Linked DNA regions of Schizosaccharomyces pombe. Changing the gene in region 2 together with the main gene of any one other region gives a genetic interaction. Each region holds a gene or a part of one and is shown on either strand. Other genes may lie near its edges.

What was found.
Region 1: of vps4 (region 2) and cmp7, changing one suppresses a phenotype caused by changing the other (phenotypic suppression), as found in Schizosaccharomyces pombe (one study listed by BioGRID).

Annotation. Positions count from the first base shown.
Region 1 is NC_003423.3:3,895,918-3,900,246, reverse strand, and holds cmp7 (ESCRT III complex subunit), read right to left. Parts: upstream 2,162-4,329; 5' UTR 2,152-2,161; coding exon 1,873-2,151; exon of another isoform or gene 1,830-1,872; coding exon 1,428-1,829; exon of another isoform or gene 1,367-1,427; coding exon 698-1,366; 3' UTR 557-697; downstream 1-556. Other genes in the region: protein Tti2, read right to left, coding at 1-81, 126-200; trs8501 (TRAPP complex subunit Trs85), read right to left, coding at 2,861-4,329.
Region 2 is NC_003424.3:816,223-820,545, forward strand, and holds vps4 (AAA family ATPase Vps4), read left to right. Parts: upstream 1-1,780; 5' UTR 1,781-1,894; coding exon 1,895-1,918; intron 1,919-1,984; coding exon 1,985-2,096; intron 2,097-2,139; exon of another isoform or gene 2,140-2,206; coding exon 2,207-2,693; exon of another isoform or gene 2,694-2,752; coding exon 2,753-3,428; 3' UTR 3,429-3,517; downstream 3,518-4,323. Other genes in the region: alx1 (BRO1 domain-containing protein), read right to left, coding at 1-1,398; protein phosphatase PP2C catalytic subunit Ptc3, read right to left, coding at 3,941-4,323. UniProt on the Schizosaccharomyces pombe protein: Involved in the transport of biosynthetic membrane proteins from the prevacuolar/endosomal compartment to the vacuole. Involved in multivesicular body (MVB) protein sorting.

The DNA.
Region 1 (4,329 bases), on a different chromosome or scaffold from region 2:
GAACTCTAATAATGGCCTCAAATCTTGTTCATGAACCAACGAGTCCACCTCTACCACCAATTTGTCCAAAAAGTCTATTTGCTATATTTGGTTAAAATTTGAAAATAGTGAATTAAAAACGGTACTTTTTCAAGAGCTTCTTTTTCATTTTTTGATTGTAGAGTATGCAATCGCCTAGCTAGCTCTTTGTAATATTGCATAGATATTGCCAATTTAAACTTCTATTAGATAATTATTAAGTCTAATGTTTTATTATTTGTTTGATTTGTAAACAAAGAATATTAACAGAATTGTAATGTCACTTAGTTATTAGAGAACTTAAATTCTATGAAAAAAGTATTTCATGTTAAGCTATGGTCATACACTAATAATATAAACTTATAGAGTATGTGATATACTGTAAGTTTCTAAGTCGTTGCCAAGAAATCAATTTAATAAATTAACAATTTACTAGTTTTTAAAGGTATAAAAAGCAAAATTTTTAGTAACTAACATCAATTCATTACACAGGTACTTTACCTTATCGCTTTAGCTATATAAGTTCTATTGAGTATATAAGCATTATTGTTTTTTATAGTTATTACCAAGAAAAATGTTTTTATAGTATTCATTTATTCTTTAGTATGTGCATAAATTATTAGTAAACCAAACCATTTCCCGTGAATTTAAGTGATCGTTAAAAAAGGACGTATATAAATTATTGCTCAACCAGCTCAGCTTGAATCTTCTCCGGTTTCGAAGTCTTTTTATCCGAGTCAGTATTAGTAAGGGTAAAAGTATCAGATGGTGTTTTTAGAGAAACATTGCCTAATGTAGACACGATATCTTCAACCTTCTGTTCTTCAGCTACCAAATCCTGCCATTCTTTTTCAACGGCTTCATCCTCTAAATCAATGTTTTGAGGATTGTAAGTTTGAATAGTTGCATCAATCTCTTCCGAACGAGCCAGTGTATCATTTACGTTTTCTAAGACATCTTCCACTTTTTCAGTTCCACCCATTTGAGCTAAAATTGCGTCTAGAGCTTCAGAGCCAGAAGACATTGCAATAAGCAAAATTTTGTTGTCAACCGCATTATCAATATTAGAAATTATAGTATCTAATTGCAGACGCGAAGAAACTTTCCTTTCCAAATCTTTAGACAAAATCTTTTTTCGACGTAAATAAGTTATTGCTATTGTTTTCTCTCCCTTTTTAACTGCTTGGTTTAGCACTTGTGAAAGTTGCTCCAATTCCTCGTTTAAAAATTCTGATCTTTGGGCGATGGATGCCCTAGCCTGTATCAGATCTGCAACAGACCCATCAATAGACTTATCAATTGAAGCTAATTGAGCATCAATTTGGCTGTTGGGTAAAAACTTGATTATCTATTCTCGTTAAAAAAACGGTATCGACAAATAGCTGAGAAAACATATAATCTGAACTTACCTTAGAATCAAATATTAAAACATGTTTTTGATAGCACATCCAATTAAGAAGGCATTCCATCTCATCCTTGTTTAATTTTCCTTCTTCCCAGTATAAGCTTCCAAAAGTATCTTGAAAAAAGTCCCAAGTATAAATTGCACTCGTATAGCTGCTGCACCGTCGCATTGCTTCATTGTGTACAAGGCAAGCAAGTTTCTCAATATTTTTTCGAATTACATACTGCCCACTCGGGGATCTATTTGACAATATGGATGAGGCTTGATTTTGAAACCCAAGTTTCTGAAAACTCCACCGTAGAATTGAAAAAATAGAAAAACCGTCTTCTCTTACTAAATTTCCTTTTTTACAATCGTTCAAAAAGTCTTGCTTACGAAGCCAAACCCCTTGCTGGATCCAGTAAGCCTATATGCTTATTAGCTTCAAAAAAAATGCTTAATTCACGTACCGCAACAGCACCAAGGCTCAAAGGTCTACCTAAAGCAGGACTTGAAAACGCACTTTCAAAAGTCTCATCGAAAACTAAGATTATCCTAGAATTCAACTTCCCAGACCATGCGGATGTTTCAATTGCTTCTCTCCAAGTATTTACGTTTGCCAAAAATCCTTCAGGATTTTTTATAAACAGACTCGTAAAGTCAGAATACAGGCTTTTTAAACGAGTTTTTGTAAAAATTCCTTTATTAACAGAAAATTCCAAAGCATTGACTTTCTCCTTTTTTCCCATTCTGTCGTATATTCCTGAAGCTACCTGCGTGGTTTACTATATACAGTTTTCAAACAGAATTAATGGTATGAGGTGACTTGTCACTTGTACTTTTGTAATGTTACAAATTGCTAAATTTGGAGTTCTAATAAGGTGCTGATGATTTGTTTTCAAAAATTCAGACAATGAACAATTTATTCTAAAACTGATAAGATAGACAAGTTATAATAACATCAGCAATTTCGTATGAAGTTGACTAATGTAAAATCGCATATATCTAATATATGTTATATTGAGTATGATACTAAATTATAATTTTGATATAATAAATTATAATGCTAATGCTACATTTTAAATTGGAAATCCTAAGCTCCTTTATGCCAGCTCCTATTCCTTTTTCAAATCTTTCAAAATTATAGCTTACACCTCTACTCTTTGAATTTCACAGTTATTTTTTATATATACTTTTTATTTTAAAATAATTATTGACATCAGTCTAAATTCTAAAGCAACATTTCAAAAAACGTGAACAAAAAAAAAATGAAGTTTTAATTTCTAAAGTCATTAACTAGCTAATTGAATATAAATATGATACTGTAAGCGGTAATATAATTTTTCAACTTCGCATTAATCGCGCTTGAATTAATAAGCTCATAACCAAAATCGAAAGTTTAGCACCTACATAAGCAGATCTTGTACCAAAGATTGCCCAGATGACAGGATGAGTTGTCTAATGAAAAGTATTTTTCACCCGAAAGTTTTCGGAAAGCGTTGGTTTTAAGTCCAGCATATGTTCAGAAAGCGATTCCCATCCTGATTTTGAATACACACGATTAGCAAGATTCCAGCAAATCTCTGCCATTTTACAATGGCCACAGTCCCGCCAAAAGCCAGCGCTATATGCAAACCAAAAAGCAGCTTTTCTGCGGCGATTTCCATCAGTAACACCAACATGTTCCTTATTACTATACATTCCAGCTATTGTCGTATTTAAGAAAGAAGTTTCAAACGGATTGAGGGAAATAGGGCCTGGTTCCAATATCTTTGCAAGCCAGGATGCTGCAAAGTCGATACTAAACGCAGGCTTCAACGAGAGCAACAAGCTTGTAACTAGCACACTTCTAAATGTATAGTAAAAAGAGTGAAGACGAACAGCATAGATATAAACCATTTCGTCGAACCATTTGTTCAAATACGAAATTTGCGACTTCAAGCTGATATTCCGATTTTGCATTAACAGACATATTATTTGGATTTCCTCGCAAGACGCTAAATAATTCCAGGCTTTGTCTTGAGAAAATGTATTCCGAATCTCATCATAAATTTCATAAGCACGTTTGTAATCACGAAGCATAAAAGAAAAATCCGCCATTTTTCTTTTTATGCTTTCCTGCTTTTCTGAAGAATAAATAAGGGATAGTGGATCATAGTTACCTTGAGAATGGCTTGAATGATTACGAGACCAGTATTTTTTGGAGGCAAATAGAAGCCTGGTAGTTAAATTACCGTATTGAGGGGTCAGATCTTCTTCCCAGGCCCGTACGCATCTTTGCATAAAAGGATATATACTATCATACAACATTGTTTGAACAAACTTTTTCATCCCTTCCACTTCTTCTACAGGCAGTAAAGGATAAAGAGGCAAACACGATTGTTCGGATTCGGCCTGAACTTCTAATGATGATCTCCATTCTGGAATTGGAAATTTTCTTAAATTTTTAGTCACAAATGTTATCGGTTTGGCATCATCACTAGATGAACAAAAGCTTTCGCTTTCCATCGAATCTCTAGGTGCATTTTTTAATGACTGTATAGAAGACGTATCATATCTGTCAGTATCTAAAGGTTTCGCTGATATGTAATTCGACCTTAATCTAATAAAATGAGAGTTTGCGCCAAGACTTCTCCGCATTTGCTGAAAAATTTGCTTCGAATTTGAAAGATCGTTGTTATCTTCATCATGTATAAACAAATAGTAATGTAAAATTTCTTTAGAAATAAAATTAGGAAAGGGCGCATTGTTAATTTCTTTGAATAAACGCATAACAGTTGCCATAGGATTGGTATTATGAGACGTTATAACAATTAGACAACCCACAGGATGAGAAAAAGTTTCATGTTCAGCTACCGGGTTACCAGAAAGTAGAAGTTTGAGATAATCCAGAATGGGATTTAAAAATCCATTTTCGGGGTAATTAT
Region 2 (4,323 bases):
GCTGTAAAATCCTTTTTCTTTCATGTTTTGGGAAGACTTTACCGAATTTATTATTTCGTCTAACGCTTGACAACAATGTCGATATGTGCCATTAACTTTATCAATTAAACAATCAAGAGAAGATGCTTCGGACCTTAAAAACTCAAGCCCCCCTAAATTTTTTATTTCAGTAAAATTTTCCATTACTTTATTTGAAGTTTCAGTTATATACCTATTGTCATTGACGGACTTTATCTCTTCCATAAGAGCAAAAAGCTTTTCTGTACCTTCTTTAGTTAAGCAATCAATACTCTTCACAGCAGCATCCAAAATATTTTTTTCATGTTCTTCAATTAGATCCATAAACTCTTTGTCCAAACATGTCGAAAAATATGGATAAGCAGCCGTTTTATCCGTCAAAACATCTGGTGTTATCGATTGAACCATAGTAACTGTATCCAATAAAGGAAATGAGCCTACTGGTATTTCGGGTTGTAAATGAATAAAATCATTGTCCCTCTCATTTCTTTTTAATTCAAACTGTAAAGAGCTTTCAAGTTTTTCAAGTTTTTCATAAACTTTCACATTAAATCCAAAATCGAACCTGGTTTTCAAAGCTTCCTTGCAATGTAACAGAGAAAGCCTCAAGTATGAAATGTTTTCTCCATATTTGTTTAGGGAGTAACTTGTTCGCGAAATAATCTGATAAGTAATAGTCTGGTAAAAAAGTTTTTGAATGTAAGTCCAATGAACGAATATACTCGGTGCCCCAGTTGCATTTTTAAATAATTTATATGCATCTTCGTATAAGAGGAAGACTTTTGCCAGAATCTTTACAATGATAGATTCACTGGTCGTGTCATTTGAGTTAGCCTTGCTAAAAATACAAGTTTGAGCCTCAGCAAGGCAATAAATCTCCCAAGCTTTCAGTAAGTTTTCATTGAAGTCTAAAGATTTAGTGTATATATAGAAATCATTTATATATCGAAAACAGCCAGCAGAAAGCTGAAAATATTGACATGCCTGTACTAAATTAGGAGGTTTTTCATTACAAAGGGAAATTGCCGTCGTATGATAAGTGCATGCTAATCGATATATCAAGCAAGCATGCTCAAATATTAGATTTTCAAAAGATTCTCTCTCGTTTGAAGAACTAGACAATGTCCACACAAATGGTGCTACGCATTCTGATAAATGCTTTTGTTCTAAAACACACAACAACTGGTGGTAAGTTTGAAAGGAGCTCAACGAATTTATTGAAGGATGCGACAAACATAATTGACTTCGCAAAGCTTTAAAGGTCTTCAAATCATTTTCATATGTGAATGATTTGAAGCAAGACAATCTTTTCAATTCATTAAACAGAGGGTCACAACTCCAATGAAAAGTGTTTTTTGTTGGTATATTTAAAAATTCCATTGCTAATAATGTTTGAATAAGTGTCTGGTTATTTTACAAACCAAGAATCTTGTCACGAAGTGCTAGAGCAATTGCCAAACACGCGTCTTTAAAAAGGAATAACCTTAGTATAATATCGTTCACAAAGCGATTGTTGCAGGTTATCACCCAAAAGAATACTTTATTAGGACAACTGGTATATCAAATGTTGACGATAGCGAACAAAAAAAAATACCCCGTAAAAATGCAGTCAAACTTATTCCTTTAGAATTGTTAGTGATGAAATGTAATTTATCGTGCGATAGAGAAAAATATTGAGGATGGTTATTAGTAGCTAAATGTAATGTACCTCTAGGTACTTAATGCCATCATTAAGCCATTGTTGCTACTGATTGTACTACTCACACCAAAACCCATTATCCAGAGCAGACCCGTTCAGTAACTTAGCTTTTTAATTTCATTGGATTTTCTTTTAAATCTACCTTTTTCATCATTAATTTGATATTTGGCTTCTGTGATGTCCAATCCAGATTGTTTAAGTGTAAGACTGTTGCATGGAGTAACTCGTCCGAATTTGAACCTTTGTCTAACATTCTAACTACTGTAGAAAGCAATTTCATTAGTAAAAACTGCTATTGATAATGACAATGCCGAGCAATATCCTGATGCTTACAAATATTATCAAAGTGCACTAGATTATTTTATGATGGCCCTAAAATGTAAGTTACTCAATAGTTTGAATTAGGGTGAGGATATATTGTCGCAATGATTCATAAGGAAATTTATATTTGGATCTACATTTTCAAGTTATTGTTTGCTAATATTTCAGATGAAAAAAATGAAAAATCTAAAGAAATAATTCGTTCAAAAGTTATCGAATATCTAGATAGAGCGGAGAAGCTCAAGGTTTATTTACAGGAGAAAAACAATCAAATTTCTTCAAAAAGTAGAGTCTCTAATGGAAATGTAGAGGGGAGCAATTCTCCAACCGCTAATGAAGCGTTAGACTCTGATGCAAAAAAGTTAAGAAGTGCATTGACTAGTGCAATTTTAGTAGAAAAACCAAACGTTCGTTGGGATGATATAGCGGGACTAGAAAACGCAAAAGAAGCTTTGAAAGAGACAGTTTTGCTACCTATTAAGCTGCCGCAATTATTTTCACACGGTAGAAAGCCTTGGTCAGGAATATTGCTCTATGGTCCTCCTGGTACTGGTAAATCGTACCTTGCAAAAGCAGTCGCTACTGAAGCTGGTTCTACTTTCTTTTCGATTAGCTCCTCAGATTTAGTTAGTAAATGGATGGGTGAAAGCGAAAGGTTTGTTATTCTACGTTAAAACTATTTACTCTTTAATATTTACATGACTAACATTATAGGCTTGTTCGTCAACTTTTTGAAATGGCGCGTGAACAAAAACCATCTATCATTTTCATTGATGAAATCGATTCACTGTGCGGAAGCAGAAGCGAAGGTGAGAGTGAATCTTCTCGAAGGATTAAGACAGAATTTTTGGTACAAATGAATGGAGTTGGAAAGGATGAAAGTGGAGTTCTGGTTCTGGGTGCCACGAATATTCCTTGGACTCTTGATTCTGCTATTCGCCGACGTTTCGAAAAGCGTATTTACATTCCCCTGCCTAATGCTCATGCCCGCGCTCGGATGTTCGAGCTTAATGTCGGTAAAATACCTTCGGAACTGACCTCACAAGATTTCAAAGAACTTGCTAAAATGACCGATGGCTACTCGGGTTCAGATATTTCTATTGTTGTTCGTGATGCAATAATGGAGCCTGTAAGACGAATTCACACAGCTACCCATTTCAAAGAGGTATATGATAACAAGTCTAATAGGACCCTTGTAACTCCTTGTTCTCCTGGTGATCCTGATGCATTTGAATCTAGTTGGCTAGAGGTGAATCCTGAAGACATTATGGAACCAAAACTTACTGTTCGAGATTTCTACAGTGCAGTTCGTAAAGTCAAGCCTACGCTTAATGCTGGTGATATAGAAAAGCACACACAATTTACAAAGGACTTTGGAGCAGAGGGATAGTAATATGATAAAGGAGCTATTTTCGCTTAGTTTAATGATACCATTATTGTAAAGAAGTATAATATCATGACTACACTCACAAATGTTGAATCACTTTAGTAAATTATGGAACTAGTAGAATATTGAAGGGAATGTATATTGCTTCGACAATATCTATTAGGGCAATCGGAAATTAGTCTGGGTATGTTTACTCATGCCAGAGAAATATTTTCCATAATCTTAACTGATTTTGAATCAGGATTATAAAAGACAGTATTCGACAAAATTGATATAGAAATCGCATGCTATCAAAAAGTGCAAAGTAGCAACGTACCAAAAACCTTTTCATTCTCGGAGGTAATCGGTATACGTCGCAGGCACGTATTATACGAACAACAAAAGAAAAGCATGAAAAAATGTTGAAACAAAACCGCCTAGCGTGACTTTTATAATAAGTCAACAAATAATGCTAATTACGAGGAATATTCCTAAAAGCAAGTTACATTGTGTAATATGCGTGAAGTAGGGAATAATCAATCTGCTGCAGACACAGCCTCCTTATGATCATCCGCAACATCTTTGTTAGAATTTACGATATCGGTTTCACTTGAAGAATTTTCCTCCTCGGCTTTATGAGGGAAAAAGTGTTCTTTCCATCTGAACCCAGCTGCAAGGGATCCGTTGGTGGAATCATCTTCCTTAGAATTTTCATTCGCATCTTTGTCATATCCATCAGATCCATTTAACTTTACTTGATGAAAATTAGGTGGGACAATAACTTTCTTATTGTTATCGCCACTACGCCATCCTGGGCCATGATTTTCGGCATACTCAGGAGGAGCGCAGGGTCCGTCGTTAGCGGCAACTCTATCTGCAATCTTCTTATACCATGCTGATTTATCGTTTTCTTGCAATA